4 linked regions of the Saccharomyces cerevisiae S288C genome follow. Changing the gene in region 1 together with any one later gene gives a genetic interaction. Each region holds a gene or a part of one and is shown on either strand. Other genes may lie near its edges.

Evidence for each region.
Region 2: mutations in CLA4 (region 1) and CTF4 are lethal when combined (synthetic lethality), as found in Saccharomyces cerevisiae (5 studies listed by BioGRID, with this or other methods).
Region 3: mutations in CLA4 (region 1) and CLN2 are lethal when combined (synthetic lethality), as found in Saccharomyces cerevisiae (5 studies listed by BioGRID, with this or other methods).
Region 4: mutations in CLA4 (region 1) and BUD6 together harm fitness more than expected from each alone (negative genetic interaction), as found in Saccharomyces cerevisiae (6 studies listed by BioGRID, with this or other methods).

The regions. Positions count from the first base shown.
Region 1 is NC_001146.8:66,977-72,418, reverse strand, and holds CLA4 (serine/threonine protein kinase CLA4), read right to left. Parts: upstream 3,505-5,442; coding exon 976-3,504; downstream 1-975. Other genes in the region: MON2 (Mon2p), read left to right, coding at 1-746; non-canonical poly(A) polymerase TRF5, read right to left, coding at 3,974-5,442. UniProt on the Saccharomyces cerevisiae protein: Involved in budding and cytokinesis.
Region 2 is NC_001148.4:797,128-802,843, forward strand, and holds CTF4 (chromatin-binding protein CTF4), read left to right. Parts: upstream 1-2,106; coding exon 2,107-4,890; downstream 4,891-5,716. Other genes in the region: transcription factor SPN1, read right to left, coding at 1-83; TOM5 (Tom5p), read left to right, coding at 430-582; MSS18 (Mss18p), read left to right, coding at 924-1,730; ribosomal RNA-processing protein RRP9, read left to right, coding at 5,232-5,716. UniProt on the Saccharomyces cerevisiae protein: Accessory factor for DNA replication. It plays a role in accurately duplicating the genome in vivo.
Region 3 is NC_001148.4:63,970-68,604, forward strand, and holds CLN2 (cyclin CLN2), read right to left. Parts: upstream 2,646-4,635; coding exon 1,008-2,645; downstream 1-1,007. Other genes in the region: BBP1 (Bbp1p), read left to right, coding at 3,756-4,635.
Region 4 is NC_001144.5:768,396-773,732, forward strand, and holds BUD6 (formin-mediated actin nucleation enhancer), read right to left. Parts: upstream 3,290-5,337; coding exon 923-3,289; downstream 1-922. Other genes in the region: EST2 (telomerase reverse transcriptase), read left to right, coding at 1-801; MMS22 (Mms22p), read left to right, coding at 3,545-5,337.

The sequences.
Region 1 (5,442 bases):
AAGAAGATGCAGAAAATCCATTAAAGGATAACTTTTGTGATTTATTTATAAATGTTATTGTTGTCACATTACAAAGAATCAACCCAGAGCTCGATAATTTAACCGAGATAGACGATTTGAATGAGTATTCCAAATATAGGGAGATATTGCTGGAAAACAGAATCATTGATCTCTTCAATGAAAGGCAATTAGACACTTTCATTTATGCCGTCTGGGATTGTTCATTTTTATATGAATTCGATGAATTAGAAAATGCTTTGATGCAAGACTGTGGTACGTTTTCTGAATTGTCTCAAAAACTATCTTCGTTCGATTTTTCATGTATATTTGGATCCACCACAAATCCTCGCTTTCAGACAAAATATAAGTGCTCTTTAGAGTGCTTGCAAGATTTGGTTAATTTTATGTTGAACACAAACGAGAAATTAAGAAAGTTAACTGCTCCTTATCTTTCTGCAAGAATTGCCCTTGCTCTTAGAAGATATATCTCAGATGAATACTTGATTGGGCGAGCACCAATACCAAAATTGCGTAAAACAGAACTAGCTACTCTATTAAATGGGCTATGCGTGATTTTAAGAGGTGTTCTAGATCAAAATTCGACCCTTGGCAACAAACAAATTGGAGTTGAAAACCTACAAACATTAAGTCCGTTGATTTTAAGAACCATCCCAGTATCTCATAAAATGGATGGCCTCCAAGATAAAGTTTTGGAATTATCACTTGGATTTACGAAACTAGACTAGAAGCTGAAGCATGGACGAATATTTTTAAAAATCACGTAGGATAAATAGTAATATTAAACGACATTGGATTGATTATTGTATCGTTGCAGGTCTTTTTTTATTTACTTTAAAAAAAAAACTTTTAAGGTGAACGTATTTATATATTATGCCATTGGTATGCATAGCTAAAAGAAAAGAAATACATAAGATTGTAGTATGTATGATATGCTTATAGAAATAGTTGTGTGCTTCATTCCTTCCACTCCAACAGTGATGTCAAATCCTTTGGATCACATGCCATATTGAAAAAACCGTGGTGTAAAAGCTCTTCGGTTGATGCCCTATATCTAACATCTACGCAAAGGCAAACGCTTAGAAAGCGTTTAATTTCTAAAGACAAACTTTCTGGATGCTTGAGCTTTGGTGTACCATTAGTTGCAATTAAGTACAACGCCTTTAGTGGATCTTCATTTAAATATGGTGGTTCACCCTCCAGCATTTCAATGGTCATGATACCCAAAGACCATACGTCAATCTTTTCATCGTATTCACGTTGTTTGACAACTTCAGGTGCCATCCAGTAAGGTGTCCCAACCATAGTGGCTCTTTTGCTTCTTTTATCAGTTAATCTGGCGCAAAACCCAAAATCGGTAATTTTCACCCTAGCTCTAGTGTCCAGCAAGACATTATCTGATTTAATATCCCTATGAATGATATGCTTGTCGTGTAGAAATTTCAAGCCTTGGCAAGTTTCTCGTACGATATATGCAATTTGGGGTTCTGTTAGTGGTGAATGTGAATTATCGTTGGTGGGACTATTCTCGATAATGTCTGTTAGTGAACCTCCTTCCATAAACTCCATCACAACCCATAGGTCATCGTCTGTTCTCAAATAAGCCTCGAGAAAATTGACGATATTTTTATGACGTGAATCCTTCATAACCAAAATTTCATTCACTATGAGTTCTTTACGAGGTTGTTTAGATAAGACCATTTGCTTGATAGCAACTTTATCTCCTACGTGCGGCTCATCAATATCATTGTTTATGAGTTCGATCATATTACTTTCTGTCGGAATATGCGTCCTCTCTGCAAGGTAGACGGACCCACTTGCACCTTGACCGGCCTTCTCGATCACTTTAAAGCATTGAGATGGATCCGCATTTACGGTGACTTTCTTCAGCTTACTCATTATTTCTGCAGTTGACATGGTAGGCCTTGCTGGCTTCTTCGGTTTGGCCACACCACCCGGTTGTGCGACATCTGCATCCGGTCTCTTTGGGGCCTGCCTCATTGTTTGTGGGGTTGACTGGTCATTCTTAGGTGCAACAGGCTGTACATGTGTGTTACTAGTAGCATTTTGATTTGATGGGTATGGCGCCCTTGGAGCTGATATTGGTGGCTTTGGAGCTGTTCTTTGAGGTTGAAAGTGTGCGGCTGTAGGACTTGAGTTTTGTGCATAACGTGGAATTGCTTGGTTTTGGGTCGACTGTGAACTTAATGGCGATTGAGGTTGTTTGGAATAAGGATTTATCATATTGTGATGTGGCCTATAAGGGTTTAATGGAGACGGAGATGGGGATGGAGATGGAGATGGTCCTTGATGGTGGTATGGATATTGTTGATGCTGTTGTTTTTGTTGCTGCTGCTGCTGCTGCTGCTGCTGCAAAGATCGTTGAGAATTGTTTGGATGCATAGGTCCCCTAGGAAATTGGCCATTGGTTGGGGAGTGTCCGTTTCTCATCTTAGGATATTGTTGGTTGGGAACATTTTGTAAGTGTCTTGGAATATTTGACTGACTAGTGGGCAATTTTGTATTTATTGGTGGCAGTGAGCCGCTTCCTAGAGAAACAGGCGATTTGGTATTTGGTGGTTGTGAGGTTTTCCTCTGTGATACCATACTTGAAGAAACGCCTGAAGATGACTTTGAATTTACTGAATTATTTCTGAGTTTGTTATCATTATAGCTGTTTGGCAGCGATTTTTGAGAGGAGGAAGTTTCACCACTTTGAGGCTTGTCTAAAGTATTTGTGGGATTTCCGGCTCCATTATACTCTTGATAAAACTGCAACACTTGAATGACAGCCGCAGAATTATTGTTCCAATCTTCTCCTGTAATTCTGGAGTGCTTTAATAATTTTTCCCAGTTGGTGGGCATACCAACAAAACTACCTGTTTCTGGATCAAAACCAACGTGAACTTTATGTGTGAAGTTTGTTGGAGAAGATACACCACTTAATAATGGACATTTAGCAAAAATGGCGTCTAACCAACTATGCAAATCGCTTTCTGTCTTTGTAGCAATGTATATTGATTTTTTGGAGTTACTGTCTGATGATACATTCAAAGAGGACGAGGATCCTGATGATACAGAATTTCGGTCACTGCAGCGCACCAACTCAAAACAATATTGTTTCAACTGTGTCCTGCTTACACTTATAATACTAGTTAGTGGTATCTTCAAGATCGCATCGTCATTTTGTTTATCGTTCTTGTAAAGGGCTACATACGAATCGTGTAGCATCAGGTATCTCTTTTGCCATATAAATGAAAGTATACCGTCATCTTTGTAGGACACCCACCCGCTTTTTTTTTTGGAGGTACTTGTACCTAAATGGGACGCTGATGTTAAATCCAGTTGACTCATAAGTTTGGTTATAGGTTGCGTTTGATTATAGCAAGTACGGCCCTGGCTATTTGAACTGGGAGGTCTAGGTGCCGGTCCGATATTTTGGAAATCGTTGTCAGATATCTTATTCGCTGCAGCTGAAAGAGACATATTTTGCACTATTTCTTTTATGTTTCAGTTTCACTGTTCGATTTATTACACCAAAGAAACCACCAGGAATGAATGATAGCAAAAGATGCAATGGTTTTCAGTAGCGCAGTACGTTCGATCGAAATAAAGGACTTAAGGTTTTGATCTTATTAGCAGCAGAAGCAAATAACTGGCAACGCTAATACATGTACAAGGCTCAGGCTAGAAGGTTCTTTCAAATTATGTGTCTCGAATCAGACTCTCCTGCACGTTCCATACTATGTTTCTATCATGCCAGAGATGAAAAATTTCGTCATCTTACCGGCTCGAGAAAATTTCCATATCGGGAAACTATCCTTTTTTGGTGGCTCTATATTTCCGGAAAGGGAAAATACCCACGCGTTTGATATCATTAGCTTATTGTTTCACTTGGACATCGATGTGGTATTCTTGTATAAATAGTAAATAGTCTATAAGAGTCTATATTGTGTTAAAGAGCCTGGCCTTTAGAGAGCCAGTAGTCCCTTCTCGTTTGAGCATCTACTGTCTTAGTTTCCAGTGGTGATTTCTCATCTTGTCCCGAAGGGGTATCTCTTCCTTTTTGATCTTGATCGGATTCTTGATCATTCTCAGAAAGTCCCATCAAGTCATCTATGCTGAGGTTGTTTTGGTGTAGGAGAGAGCCCTGATCAGTTTTTTTCACTTTGCGTTTCAATTTGCTTCTGCTCACTCCAAAATCCGGAGGTGGAGATGGAATGGCACTCTTTTTGATTTCCCCTTCTCTCTTATCCTTTTTTGCCTTCTGTTTCTTCTTTGCAGGTTCGTCAAGTTTGTAGATCTCCTCTACTGGCAAGTCTTCGGTGTCGTTTATAAATAAATCTTCTTGAACTATCCTCGTGCGCCTCTTGTGGTAGCGCTCGTTTTCAATGATGGCTTTATTCTGCACTAAATCTCTTTCGTCGTTGAAATCTCTCTTTTGCCCACGGTATTTGATCACGTTTCCGAGTATACTTTTTCCAACGCGGTCTTTGAATGTAGCAGAATTCAATTCCCAGCATTTATTGACCAACAGTTCGAAGGCACCAGCAAAGGCCTTTTTTATATCCTTCATATTAAAGGAGCCTCTGCTTATATTATTGTTAGGATCACCAGGATCTTGAATAGCTAGCGAGAATTTACTCCTTGAAGGTTCCAAAGTTCTCCAACACGATTTAGGAATATAAGAGGCGTAACCATCAGATATGCTTATAGCAACGTCATCATAACCAAAATTTTTTCCGTAAAGTTCGAAGAAGTCAATCAGTAGAACACCCAGGTTATCTAGAACGTCGATATCGTTTGATTTTATTCGCGGATGCATATTTAAAAAAGAATAAACCAAACAGATTACTGTGAAACCTCCCAATCCTCCTGTGTGCACATTGTTCAATCGTCTTGAATGCAAAAATTGTTTTATTATCAGTACCAGTTCACGTAACCCTGGAGAGTCTCTTAGCCATTCCCTGATGAGTTTTGCAGCCTCTAACCCGTTCGTTCTTTCAAATGAAACGTCGATATGTAACTGTGATTGGGGCTCTATGAATTTGATAATAGGCACTCGCGTTTTAACAATAACCTCCATTCTTATAGCTAGCCCTTTGTTTTTCAAATGTCTCGCCAATTCATAAATGTAATTTCTGTCCTCTTTATCGCGATTCCGGCTGTTTACGACACAGTCAATGTCAGAACCCGGCAAATATAAATCGGTGGCAAAAGAACCAAACACATGCAAATCTGCATCCGACCACAGTTCCTTGACCGCCCGGCGTAGTTTATCGATCGTTCTATTTCTGCACTTGATTTCGTTCTTGCTTGGAGAGATATAATGAACGAAATCTTTGATTTCTGAAGTTAGCCAATCTGCTATTCTCCTTTGTTTCGAATGACAATGATTTCTTATCCAAGGATACTCCACATTGC
Region 2 (5,716 bases), on another chromosome or scaffold:
ATAGTTGACTTTTGGGAGGAAGCTGTCCCATCTTCTGGTGTCGCTTCCACCACTTTGGGTTGTTCTTGATCGGCTGTACTCATTGCTAATTGATATGTTTTTGCCTTTTATTACTAAAAGTTCCTCTATATATACTTCAGAGGACAATAAACTCCCTTGATATGGCCTGCATATACTTTACAAGTGCTATCAAACAAAGATGCTGGGCAATGAAGCTGACAGTTAACTCTTCCAAAACTTCCCTTCAAAGAAATTGTGAGAGAAAAAAACCTTCTTGTTACCCTTCTTTGGAAGAATACCGCACATCATAAAATCAAGAAATGAATTCGAAAGTTTACTCTTTCTTTCTAGAGGCGTTACACCAATATTAGCGAATTGCAGTTTCCCACAAAAGGCGTCCATTGGCATCAAATAACTAGATAGTATAAAATGTTTGGTCTACCTCAACAGGAAGTCTCCGAAGAGGAGAAAAGAGCTCATCAAGAACAAACTGAGAAAACCTTGAAACAGGCCGCTTATGTGGCTGCGTTTCTTTGGGTTTCCCCAATGATCTGGCATTTGGTGAAAAAGCAATGGAAATAATTCCCCACTGAAGAAAAAAGATTGCATCTATGAATGACACTAAAATATGTTTCTCTTTTTGTATTTGCTTTTGATTAAATAATGGTCAATTTGCGCCCCCCACCTTATATAGTTTAGAGAAAGACGTGTAAATATTTTTTAAAAAATTGATACTGCTCTAATGAGCCTAAATCTCCTTTCTTCGCTTGTATATATGCGTATTCTGTATGTTTGTCCAGGCAGATTTTTCGGCTTTTTTTACCAGCTTTTATTATTAAAATGTGATAACCTTAATTGAAGGTTGCGATACAAAATAATCCTTTATTACGCATAACCAAGGAAAAGAGAAAATCAGTGCACATATGGGTTTACCTGAAGTTAACTTTCTTCGAAAAAACTGCATACTTGTGGAGTTAAAATTATTCTATCAAACAGTATACCCACCGAAGGAACTATATTGGAATAACCGAATAACTGCAGAATTGAGTACATTCTCCAATATTAAGTATGCAAGGCCGACTTTCGCAGTAAATAATGGCACATTTCAGAGAACAAGACCGAAATTAGACTTGGTACTGGCTTCATCTGATATTCGTAAGCTGGCTACGGTTTTATTTAATTTAAAAGCTCTCATAATGAATACGAAGGGTGAGGAACCCACTCTAACCACGATGACTAGTGTCCAAACGAACGAAGAGAAAAATGATAACCTGGAACAGAAATATTCAAGTCTGCTAGATAGATGGAATGGGAAAGTAGAAGTGCATGATTCTCCTTTCCTTCAACTCCAACGGGACAGCAACCTTTTGTTTGCTGAGAGGCCGGTACGTTACGTTAGCACTACAGAAGGTGAAGGCGTGGACATATCTAGTGAAGAGTTTTTCAGGTTAGAGGAAGAACAGTGCCGAAGGAATTATGATGTTTTGGTCGATGAACATTCTACACCATCAGTCGGGATGAAAGACGGCCAATACGGACCAAATATAATTCACTTTGAACCGTCGCTGTACCACACATATTCTTCTCTACCAATGAGTATGAAATTTTGGTTAAATGGTCTAGAAGACGACGAAACGACGATGATGAACATTGATGAGAAGTCAGCCGAAAATCTGGATATATTATTACATGGTTTCAAAGGATTTTCGAACAAGCGCGTTAAAGGATGAATTAATCATCCTCTTCATGTACTACTTATGTCCAATTTGAGTGTAAAATCACAGGTACAAGGCTTATCCATATTCGTATATATCTTCATAATGTTTCATAATTGCTTCAGAAAATTATTCAAAACGTCTTGTGATATTCATTAGGTGAAATCGTAGTTTGCCTGATACTTGAAAGAATCTCACCTGGAGAATGGGTGTTTTCACTAAGATTCGTTAATTTCCACTAATGATTAATTGTTAACTGTTTAACGCGACGCGTAATAAAGTTTCCTGAATACGCCAACATATGGGAACATATAGATTAAATTAATAAGAAAGCTTGGGAAAAATAATTGAGAAGGGCAAGAAGTGACGTAAATATACTAGACGTACTATTATGGTTTCAGTTATAGACAAGCTTGTTTTTGACTTTGGTGGGAAAACTCTGGTCTCTCTCGCACCAGATAATAATACTTTGTGTGTAGCCAATAAAAATGGCTTAACCAAGATTCTGAAGACAAATAACCCAGAAGAAGAGCCAGAGACTTTAGATTCTTCCAAATTGGTCTCGTCTATAAAATGCTATTCAAACTCGCACTTTCTGATGACTACAATGCAAGGTGATGCTCTTAGGTATAACATCGATTCTAGTCAAGAAGAATTATTGGCTAGATTTGCTTTACCCCTACGTGACTGCTGTGTTATTCATTCAGGTAAAATGGCCGTATTTGGAGGAGACGACTTAGAACTAATCCTTTTGGAATTGGACGATGAAACACACAAAAAACATGCCATTAAAATCGATGAACAAGTTTCTCAAATTTCTTACAATTCACAGATGAATATTTTAGCAGTTTCAATGATAAATGGTAAGGTACAAATTTTTTCTCTGACATCTACTATTCCAAACAAAGTTCATGAGTTAAATGATTACATAGTGGCCAATTCATATGATGATACACACAGAGATAAGATACTCTCGAATATGATGGATGATATAGATAAAGACAATGATAATGACCTGAGTGAAACGGCTGATCCAGATGAGAACAATGTAGCTGATCCAGAATTCTGTGCTGCTAATAGAATTTGCACGAGAGTGGCTTGGCATCCGAAGGGTCTGCATTTTGCGCTACCATGTGCAGATGATACAGTAAAAATATTCTCTATAAAGGGATATTCCCTACAAAAGACGTTGTCCACAAATCTCTCATCAACAAAGGCTCATTTCATTGATTTGCAATTTGACCCGTTACGTGGAACTTACATTGCGGCAGTAGATTTAAATAATAAGTTAACGGTATGGAATTGGGAAACTTCCGAGATCCACTACACCAGGGAATTCAAAAGAAAAATTACTAATATTGCCTGGAAAATCCAAGCGGACTCAAAAACTCTAGACCTTGTTTTAGGTACCTGGTCCGGTAGTATAGCCATTGTCCAAAATTTGGCAGAGTCCGTAGTATCTAATATACCTGACCAATCTGTTGCTGAATCTTCAACTAAACATGGGCTTTTTGTAGACTCCGAATCTGACTTGGAAAACTTAGAGGGAAATGATGATATAAACAAAAGCGATAAGCTATTTTCAGATATTACTCAAGAAGCGAATGCGGAAGATGTGTTCACTCAAACACACGACGGCCCCAGTGGATTAAGTGAAAAGAGAAAATACAACTTCGAAGATGAAGAAGACTTTATTGATGATGACGATGGTGCTGGTTATATTAGTGGCAAAAAACCACATAATGAACATTCTTATTCGAGAGTACACAAGACTCATTCGTTTCCAATCAGTTTGGCAAACACAGGAAAATTTCGTTATATGCCTTTTTCTCCAGCGGGAACACCTTTTGGCTTTACTGACAGGCGTTATTTGACAATGAATGAAGTGGGCTACGTATCTACTGTCAAGAATAGTGAGCAATACAGCATAACTGTCTCTTTTTTTGATGTTGGACGTTTTAGAGAATACCATTTCGAGGACTTATTTGGCTACGATTTATGCTTCCTAAATGAAAAAGGCACTTTATTTGGCCAATCCAAAACTGGGCAGATACAATATAGGCCACACGATAGCATACATTCAAACTGGACCAAGATTATTCCTTTGCAAGCTGGTGAGAGAATAACAAGTGTGGCAGCCACCCCGGTTCGCGTTATTGTTGGTACATCATTAGGCTATTTCAGAAGTTTCAATCAATTCGGGGTTCCATTTGCTGTTGAAAAGACATCCCCAATTGTAGCGCTTACTGCTCAGAATTATAGGGTTTTTTCAGTACATTATTCGCAGTTTCATGGCCTTTCATACTCTTTATCTGAATTGGGTACTTCTAGTAAAAGGTACTATAAAAGAGAGTGTCCACTTCCAATGAGTTTACCAAACATTAATTCTGATATGAAAAAAGACGCAAATCTTGACTACTACAATTTTAATCCGATGGGCATCAAAAGTTTGTTCTTTTCAAGCTACGGAGATCCATGCATTTTTGGGTCCGACAACACGCTTCTATTGTTATCAAAGTGGAGATCACCAGAAGAAAGTAAATGGCTCCCTATTCTAGATAGCAACATGGAAATATGGAAGATGTCAGGAGGGAAGGAAACGACAGATATACATGTCTGGCCCTTGGCTTTGGCGTATGACACATTGAATTGTATCTTAGTTAAGGGCAAGCATATATGGCCCGAGTTTCCCCTTCCGTTGCCATCCGAAATGGAGATTAGAATGCCAGTATTTGTTAAGAGTAAATTACTAGAGGAAAACAAAGCTATATTAAATAAAAAGAACGAAATTGGAGCTGACACCGAAGCGGAAGAAGGGGAAGAAGACAAAGAAATACAGATTCCTGTTTCTATGGCGGCGGAAGAAGAGTATCTGCGCAGCAAGGTTTTGTCAGAGCTGTTGACAGATACACTCGAAAATGACGGTGAAATGTACGGCAACGAAAATGAGGTATTGGCAGCATTGAACGGTGCATATGATAAGGCTTTGTTACGTTTATTTGCGTCTGCATGCTCAGACCAAAATGTTGAAAAGGCTCTTTCGCTTGCTCATGAATTAAAACAAGATAGAGCACTTACTGCAGCCGTTAAGATATCAGAAAGAGCTGAGCTGCCCTCTCTCGTTAAAAAAATTAATAATATAAGGGAAGCTAGATATGAACAGCAATTGAAATAAAAAAATGTAAAATATATATACGCAAGAGACAATTATTTGATACCTGTTCATTTGTTCAAATCATCGTTCAAAATGCTCCCACATTAACATATATTTCTTTGAATGCGACGATAATAAAGAGTTACGTTGAACATGATCTGAGCTGGAAGCGTCCTTGCGAATTTTCGCGAAAGGAAAAAGTGAAAAAATATGAAAAAAAAAAAAAGAGATGACATTTTATAGATGAGCTTTGATTAAACAGTGTAACACCTGGTCCTGTACCGTAAATATTCAAATAAGCATCAATTCAAAGTTCTTTATTTCTTCTTTAGCATTTCAAAATTATAGAAAATCTAGAAAAGATGTCAGATGTTACCCAACAGAAAAAGAGGAAAAGATCCAAAGGAGAAGTTAATCCATCAAAACCCACAGTAGACGAAGAAATCACAGATCCATCCTCAAACGAAGATGAACAACTAGAAGTTTCGGATGAAGAAGACGCATTGGAATCTGAAGAAGAATTCGAGGGTGAAAATCCAGCCGATAAAAGAAGGAGGCTTGCAAAGCAATATCTGGAGAATCTGAAAAGCGAAGCTAATGACATTTTAACTGATAATAGGAACGCTGAAGAAAAAGATTTAAACAATCTCAAGGAAAGAACAATCGACGAGTACAACAATTTTGATGCTGGAGATTTGGATAAGGATATCATTGCGTCCAGGTTAAAAGAAGACGTTGCTGAACAGCAAGGCCGAGTCTTCAGATATTTTGGCGATAAACTTCTAATATCTGAAGCAAAACAGAGCTTTACCAGGGTAGGGGAAAATAACCTTACTTGCATTAGTTG
Region 3 (4,635 bases), on another chromosome or scaffold:
AAAGAATACGCATGACAAATTTTGAAAACCGTACGTGACATAAAATACCTATAATAAGATGAAGACATCAATTCTCAAGTTCCACTTTTCGCCGGTTGAGTGTATCGGTCATAGTACAAAGGCAGAAATGAATAATAGTAATATTAATCGCAGTTTCCTGTTGTTTAGAGAACTGAAACGCTTTGTGGGCATCAGGTTTAGATTAACTGCTACCCTTCTTCTGTATTTGTCTGGCCATGCTTCTCAAATAAACCGCTGCGGATAACATTTCAAGTGGTTTCTCAAGGGAGAATCATAGTTTAGCTTAACATACAGCAAATCGTCACTATCTTGACTGATGCCCGGTGTATAGAGAATGGGTAGTTAATATCATCTAGATGGGGTTTCTTTGAAAACACCAGTTTCTTTGAGGACACCAGTTTCAGTGCTTCTCTCTACCCCATCAACTATTGCACTCCTACCTGCGTAATAAGTATACGAAGTCTAAAATAGTGGGACGTCTTGCTTTTTTCGGTAGTTTTTCGTTTCGATAAAGGCAACAATGCTGTATATTGTATGCAGGAAGTTCTTAAGGAAAATACAGGAATCTTTAGAAAAAGAATAAATAGCTTTCCATTGTATCATGAACAAGTCACTCTTCATATTATATGTCGTCGCTTCTTATCCCTTTAAGTTATGAATTGTTGAGCTTAGGATTTTACCACAACTGAATAACATTTTCTTTATTCTAATAATCGATTTTTTTTAATAAGATTAGACTTGAGTGCCATCAGCAAAGAAAAATACTTTTAATGTCCTTTTTTTAACTCTACACAGAATTTAGTTGGCTGTTTCATTGATTTACAAAAATATAAATATATACCGTTAAAATTATAGCGATAAACTGAGTATGTGGTCTCTCTTTTCCCGCAGAATATGAAAGCTTTTCTTTTATAAATCTTATAATATTGGTCTCTTTTTGGTACGTTTGGCAAATTGGCATTCATTTATCATGAAAAGAACAGGAACTATATTACTTGGGTATTGCCCATACCAAAAGAAATTAAAGATGAGGCACTGCTAGATTTACCGCTATTTATGGTCCCAGTTGGCGAGGGGAACATTCCATGGTTAATGAAGCTTGTCTTGGGTGGGCCCCCATTGAGGTAATGCGCCGTTGCGGGATTTTGGTTTTCCTTGTTAGACTCATTTAGGTTTAGCAAATCAATATAATCATTGGTTGCGTTATTGCTGTTAGGACCCGTGATTTGTTCGTAGATCCTTTGTTTGTTATTTGTATTCACCAGACTATTCACACTAACGGTGCTACCACATATACTGTTTGACTGCTGCTGACCAAATTGGTACATACTTGGAGTGATTGGTGATGATTGTTCCATATTCCGGCTGAAAACGCTGTTATCAGAGAGTGAGCTCATGTTTCTCATTGGAGTGTGGCTTTGAGATGAGGAAGCGGGCGAAGGAATGGATGTGCTATTTGAATTTTCGAAAGAGCATGATGGGGTTGATATGGTAAGCTTTCTCGAAATGTTCAAGTTGGATGCAATTTGCAGTTTTCTTTGTAGATCCAAGTGATATTCTTTCACTTGATTAATGAAGGGTAGAACACCATTGACCGTTTTATACACTTCCATCAAGGAGTTAGGAATGGAAACAATGCCGTTCATTAAGGTACTCAAAATTTCACCATTTTTGCTTTCTGATGTCATTGGAGTCATTAAAAAAGGACCGTGGTCTTGATTGGTGAATTGATTGATAATGGAGAATATGCCGTGCGATACTTCGAAAAGTTCATATCTAAGTAAGTCGTACTGCCACGCGGATACATCAATCAAGAATTTTTTCAAATTAATCAACTTGATCTTTAGTTTTAAGTCTTCTTCTTCTTCTTCTTCGTTTTGGTAGGGCCTCTCGTCTACAGTGGCATCACTATCCTGGGATAATTGAGACTGACGTTTTTCAGAGCATTGTTTGTCATAAGTAACTTGATTTTCATAAAGTTCGTATTGCATCAAACAATTTTCATCAACATTTAAAACGTAATCATTGATCATTGGTTCATAAATGTTCCAATTTAAAGTGTCTAGTATATGTCTTTCCATTTGTAAAAACATTGATTCATCAAAGACCTGACCATCACCACAGTAATGAACTAGTTCAGAGAGTCGAGGTATACGTGCCCTTGGGTTGGGACCATAAAATCTTCCGCCAGTAGGGATGACTACATTATTGATGATGTGATTACAACCGCCCCAAGTTTTAGCAGCCAACCAGAGACAAGTAGCGACAACCAATTTGGCTTGGTCCCGTAACACGATTCTCTTGGAACAATAGCGGTCATATAATCTAACTGAATGAAAAAAAATACCATTTGTCACTCGAGTGACCACAGACAGCTCGAACAAAAAAGTGATAATGTTGGACCTTGTTTCCACGGGGTTCATTTCAGGCTGCTGGTCTATTAGTTTTGGATTAGGTTTGAACTTACATGATTGAGCAATAACATTGGTGGAGATTTCTTGGTGGTATTCTTGCAGCATTTCGAAGTGAGAAAGTAATTCTGCATTAGATAGCTCAATCGGATAGTAGTCCGGTTTAGCATTGATGACGAGTCCCATACGGGGTCTTGGTTCAGCACTAGCCATTGTCTGTCGTTAAATTTAATGAATGAATGGAAAAAAGAAAAGATTTTCTTTTGTATGCAAATTATGATGTGGTAAGCGAATGAATTGGCAGCTATAGAGTCTAGCAATGCTGTATATAAGAAGAAAATTTGACGATGAAGTAAAGTAGATGTTAAAATAAAAGTAAGTTGTCCTTGATATTATCTATTGCCAATTCACTAAAAAACCAGTAAGAGGAGCATAATAGTTACCAGAGTCGATTGCTATTTTTTTATATATGAAAGAGATAGTAAGTTAAACAAGTAGCCAGAGGCTGCGTGCGATACGCAAATAGAAGGCGGATCTGCGTTCTGCGTTTGCGCAGGCCTTTTTTCCTTTCCGTTTTTCAGTAGGCCTGTCAGATCAACATTTCGCAGGTTAGATCCTCAAAAAGGGCCAACAGTTGTTTCAGTTGGTGTTCATTTCAATTTTTAGCAGTTATACTTAACAGGCTACGCCAAATGTGCTCTTCGCTAGGTATCCGCATGCGGAAACATAACGGTTTTTGGCGCGTTTCGTGACTAGAACACGCAGTTTTGAGGTTCAGCGGGACGAATTTCGTGTACTTCCGTTGAGACAAATTTCGCGATGATTTCCGTTTTCGGAAAGATGGAGCCGGGTAAAGCGCGCATGAATTGATAACTTGGCACTTTTGAACCTCAGTATCATTATTAACAATGTATAGTTGCTTTAGTTCGCATTTCAGGGTAAAAGTGCGGAGGATACGAAAAAGATGAGATAACTTACAGAAGGAAACGAATAGTGGTTTCAAAAAATGCCTTTCACTCGTAGAGAAAACAATAAAAGTTACCGCACTCCAACACAGGCGATACTGGAGGAATATTTTCAAGAGTAAATAGAAGCAAAGATGCTTAAAAATGGATACTTGAACCAATTTTTCTGTAGCGGTATATTACGCTGCTCTTTTAAAATTATTTCTGACGCGACCCGTTTTTGTGTCGCTCGGTGAAAATCACGAAAAACTTGACACTTTGAAAACTAATACAACATAAAGAGACTGAAGACGAGGAAATCAAAACAACGAAAAAAGTCAATCTTCGAAGGAGCATAGAGGCGAATGACTACTGAACAATGAATCAGGAAGACAACACGGGCGGAGGGGGCATTTTTGGTCTTTTCAAATGGACTAAGGATGCGCTGTTTGGTACGGACATATCACCTTCAATGAAATATAAAGATCAGGAAGAACGAAGAGACCGATCTAGGTATGCCCAAGACGACACAAATTTTTCTATGAAGTTTGGAAATGACTCCAACAGGAGGAGTACAAACTTATCGAGGTCAAATTCGTGGTCTGGTCTGGATTCAACGCTCCATAGGAAGTACGAGTTACTCCCAGAGTACAACGAGAACGGCTTTAACTCAATTGTTAACGGTGACCACCACAGCAAAGAGAGAATACGATCTTTACGAAGTCCTGCTCCGATAGTACCGAGAGAACCACTTCGTAACGAACCTACGGATACATTTGGTCACAGACTACACACAAAAAGGAGAACTATAAATGAGCTTTCCAATTCGCAGATACCCTTTATACCACCTCAGGAAGACGACCCTTTGCTCTCGAAATTATTTAACAAGGATGGAGTTAATGAGGTTAGAAGATCGCCCTATAAGTTATCGGTTAAAGATATACCAGGCAAATTTCCATCTCCCTTAACAAAACGTGATGAAATAGACAATTACTATGTCCGGGACGAAGATGCTTGCCACAAGAATAGAGAGTATAAAAAGGCATATTTTGATCTTTTTGCACAAATGGACTTGAACAGTAGAGACCTGGAAGATTTGTGTGAGGATGTTAGAGAGCAGCGTGAGCAATTCCACAGGAATGAGCAAACTTATAAGCAAGCATACGAGGAAATGAGAGCAGAACTGGTCAACGAGTTGAAGAAATCTAAGACACTCTTTGAAAATTATTATTCATTAGGTCAGAAGTACAAGAGTTTGA
Region 4 (5,337 bases), on another chromosome or scaffold:
GTTGAAGATAAGTGCTACATTAGAGAAGATGGTCTTTTTCAGGGCTCTAGTTTATCTGCTCCGATCGTTGATTTGGTGTATGACGATCTTCTGGAGTTTTATAGCGAGTTTAAAGCCAGTCCTAGCCAGGACACATTAATTTTAAAACTGGCTGACGATTTCCTTATAATATCAACAGACCAACAGCAAGTGATCAATATCAAAAAGCTTGCCATGGGCGGATTTCAAAAATATAATGCGAAAGCCAATAGAGACAAAATTTTAGCCGTAAGCTCCCAATCAGATGATGATACGGTTATTCAATTTTGTGCAATGCACATATTTGTTAAAGAATTGGAAGTTTGGAAACATTCAAGCACAATGAATAATTTCCATATCCGTTCGAAATCTAGTAAAGGGATATTTCGAAGTTTAATAGCGCTGTTTAACACTAGAATCTCTTATAAAACAATTGACACAAATTTAAATTCAACAAACACCGTTCTCATGCAAATTGATCATGTTGTAAAGAACATTTCGGAATGTTATAAATCTGCTTTTAAGGATCTATCAATTAATGTTACGCAAAATATGCAATTTCATTCGTTCTTACAACGCATCATTGAAATGACAGTCAGCGGTTGTCCAATTACGAAATGTGATCCTTTAATCGAGTATGAGGTACGATTCACCATATTGAATGGATTTTTGGAAAGCCTATCTTCAAACACATCAAAATTTAAAGATAATATCATTCTTTTGAGAAAGGAAATTCAACACTTGCAAGCATATATATATATATATATACATATAGTTAATTAGTACTAATAATACATGAAATACTGACAGCTTATGATGCTGATAAGGAAAATATTGCCGCAAACTTTGTAATAAGCCAAAAGCACTAATCTCTTTTCCGTTAGCTTTCATAAAATTAGTGTATTTAAGTAAACCCCGGCCCAAAATATGCTCTCAAATTTGCTTCATCCTTCTGCTTTCTTATCCTTTCTACTTCTTCAAAGCCTCCCGATTTTTTCAGGTTTGAATTACCCACAAAATTTTCCAGTTCATCATCAAATTCATTACTAGCTTTAAGTTTTCTTTCCATCTCCCACATCTTCTCAGCCTTGTCAATAGCTTCGACCCTACTATCGTGGTCAGGGTTTAAAGATTGGACGGCCACCATAACTTGCTCCCTTACCTGATTAAATGTGCCCGGTCTCATAATAGGCAAAATAGGATTACTTTTTGATCTCGAAGGGTTTTTTTCTTGTTCTTCACAACATAACTTAATAAGATCGAAAGTTTCTAATGCCTTACCCAAGTCTTCCTTCAAATCTAAAATCAACTCTTCCTGCAACGTGAGAAACTGTTGTTCTTCACAGACCTTATCGAGCTCAGCTTCCCAAGTTTTTTTCCAATGTGGTTTTTCAGTATCAATAAACTCCTGTAGTTTAAGTACATCTGCTTGGGCATTTTCTAAATCCTTGGATACGGTTTCTAGCTTCTTTTTAGCGGGCTGAGACCTACGCTCAGCAACGTCTTTCCTCATAATTTCGATTACATCTTGCAAATCATCTACTTTACTTAGCAGAGTATCGGATAAATCACCGAGTTCGGTCTGTGATTTTTCCATGTACATTCTGTTGGAAGAGTTTTTGGCAGAAAATGATAAAGACTTAAAGTTATCGACCTTTCGTAAAATGTTGAAAATAGTCTCATTAATATTTGACCTATTAATATTATGCACTTGTTTTATTTTCCCCAATTCGTACTGAATATCTTTGATCGTTTTATCATCATCTTTTTTGTTTTGCCCCACAAGATCGTGTTTGTTAGCTTCAAGGCCAGGTTGTGGTAAAACTTCCGTTTGCTTGCCGCTAATTGCAGAACCAAAACTCATTTCTTTTAAATGTCTTATTATATCATTCTGACTATTCGATATCTCCATCTTAACTGTGTCAATGAATTCCTTGATCGTATTATTTGGATTCTCTTCGAGCTTTAGCTCGATAACAAACCCTTCTTTAATATCGAGAAGATTTAGTTCCTCTAATTCATAGAATACTCCATATTGAGGATCCATAATATATATGTCTGGGAAGGAATTTGCTCCAGGAGAATACGCAAAGCGCTCAATAAATAGGAGCCTTAATGCGTTTTTTGTAGTAGGCAGTTGCACATGACACTTCTTTGTTTTGTCTCCTATCCTTAAAAATACTGGACAAGTTCCATTCATGGCTTTATCTGGCGAAGTTGTAACAACGCTTGATAATCTTCGTGGAGATGCACGAACATTCTCAATAGGCAATGGCGTTTTCGCCAATGGACTCGCCTTTGATACATCGTCAATGCTTTTACCCTTATTTTCAGCTGAATTAATGTTTCTATCATCATCATTGTTGTTATTTCCGTATAACTTTGACTTTCTTACGGTTTCCTCTAGATGCAACATCGAGGGTGAAGGAGTTGTCATGAGGCCGGCAGCCGCAGCAGCTTCTGTTGTAGACTGATTTGTCAATTTAGCCATATGGTAGGCAGAGTATCTCTTTGAGGCTCTCCTTTGTAAATTAGTTCCCTTCTTCAATTGTGAAAGTGCATCATCATCATCAGATGCGTTTGGAGCATTGTTAGATTTAAGGTTTTGTTTAATATTAGTTCTTGGTTTTGTCAATGTTGCCTCTGCTGACTGAGCAGAGGGTGTTCCCGTAGAAGTAGAATTCACTTTTTCCCCATAGCTGTTTTCGACTGAATCGCTTTGCCTCTGATCACGTACAATACTGCTTTTTCTGCTACTTAATGGAGTCCCCTCACGGGTCCCTTCACTACCCAATGAAAGGTTACTAGTAAAGGAAGGGTTTTGTTGATGATGTGATTTTACACTTATCCGATGCTCTTGCTGCATATTCTTCAAAATTGCTTGTTTAACCTTTAGTTTGTCTAAAAGTGTCACTATAATCTCTCTGATTTTTGGCAGATGTTTATTTAAAGTTTCATCAGATGGTGGTTCCCTCAATGTCACTTCCAATACACGTCTTAAAGCCATTGGCACATCACCAACATCTGACATGTCAACTTTCGCATGCATGAAGAATTTCGATACGACTTTGAAGTCATTGCCCAACTGAACGTATGCATCAGATACTAATCTTCCAGAGGTTGTCCCCTTAGACCATTGTGTTAAGACCTGGAGGAGGTGCTTGGTGGACATCAGCAACTTTGTTACTGTCGTTTCAATACTACTACTGCTAGAAGCAGTTCTTTTAATCTTTGGGGTGCCATACGTAGGGTCATCCACGGCCATCTTCATCTAATTTTAAAATAATACGAGGATTACTACACCAATTTGGCAGCCAGCTTCTACTCTTTTTCCCTTTTCTTGGGTTTGTTTTGATGCCATTATCTCAAGAATGCATAATAGTAGGATAAAATTCGTTCAGCTCGGCTAGCGAGATATCTTCAAAGAGTAAAGCGCATCTGCGTGTAAAATTAAATTCAAGAAGTGAAAGAATAAAAGATAGGATTGTAGATTTGAAGTTTAGTGGTAGCGTCAGCAGATAAGCTTATGGATGTTGATGAACCGAATCCTATTGTGATATCAGATTCTGAGGCCACTGATGAGGAAATTAGTATCATATACGAACCCGAATTCAATGAAAATTATTTATGGGCAGAGGAAAACGTCCAAGAAGCAAGCAGATCACAGAAAATTGTCACTGAGAGGTTGAGCCTGGATTCCACTGCTGGAGAATCTTGTACTCCTTCCGTAGTAACTGATACACAAGTTACTACGGGGCTTCGGTGGTCTTTGAGGAAGAGGAAGGCTATTCAAAAGATGCCATACAGTTTAGAACGCATAAAGCATAGGCAGTTGCTAGAGGGCTATGATATCTCTAGTTTTGACAGCATTTCGAATCAGTTGACCTTACCGAAGAACGCTTCTACAGTGATTCACTCAAATGATATTTTACTTACAAAGAGAACTGGTAAACCCTTAGATGAGCAGAAAGATGTTACAATCGACTCCATTAAACCCGAAAACAGCTCGGTTCAATCTCAAAGATATGATAGTGATGAAGAAATACCAAAGAAAAGGCATCGTACTTTTAAAGACCTCGACCAGGATATAGTATTTCAATCAGGTGATTCTACGGAAGATGAACAAGACTTGGCTAGTACAAATTTACAGAATACTCAAAATGACGAAGTAATATTTAGAGGAAGAGTATTGAATGTAAGAACTGGTTACCGTGGGGTCCTGCCAAGAGTTGCTTGGGAAAAGTCGTTGCAAAAGCAGCAGTCTTCAAAAGTCACGAAAAGAAAAACTCAATTATTGAACCATAAGGGTGTGGCTAAGAGGAAAATGAACAGAAGCGCCCATATTGAAGATGAAGAACAGAACTTATTGAACGATCTTATTGCACCTGATGACGAACTGGATATCGAGGAAAACGCCCCTCCAGATATATACTTAGGAAATCTTCCAGAGGATCGTGAGGCTAACGAAAAGGAATTAAAGGAATTGCAAGAATATTATGAGAGCAAGTATAGTGAAGACGCACAATCGGCTGGAACTTCTGGTTTTAATTTAAATGAGGAATACCGCAATGAACCAGTGTATGAGCTGGAATATGACGGACCGGGGAGCTGCATATCACATGTGTCTTATAAAGACCAGCCTATTATTTATTTGAATTCACGGCATTCAGATAGCGGATTTAGTGAGCAATACAATATATCTGCCGAAGATAATCAAAGTGTAATTTCCCTAGATGCTGCTGAAGAGCATAACGATGGTATAATTGACAAGATGTTGGTTAAACCTAAAAGAATTAAAGCAACCAATGATGCCAACTTTTTGAATACAAAAAGTAAGAGAGTGAGAAGATATAAGTACAAATATCGAAATTCTTGTCTGGCCCCAAGTACAAAAGCTATCAAAGTCGGAAAACGGTCAGCGCATAAATCTCATTTGGCAGCTAATAATCCAGTTTCATTTGTTTCTAAGAAGAATCATGTAATTGATGATTATTTTTTTGAAGAATTAGAATCTCAATCCCTAGAACAGGATGACAGCTCTTCTCTCAAGCCACAGAAAAAAAGAAGGAAGAAGAAAGCACCTATATACTCAAGTTTCTCCGCTGATCTTGAATCGAGACGAAAACCAGTTTTCAATACTGTTGTAGAGGTTCCCACGAACCGATACGCTTTCACAAAGCCAAATGTACGTAATAGGGACAGCATTAATCATGACATGGAATTTGAGGAAGAAGACTCCAATCAAGAGCTTGGACCAATAATGGTCGTACTTGACTCAATTTTACTAAAAAAACCTTTTGAGCCACCTAATTTCTTCAA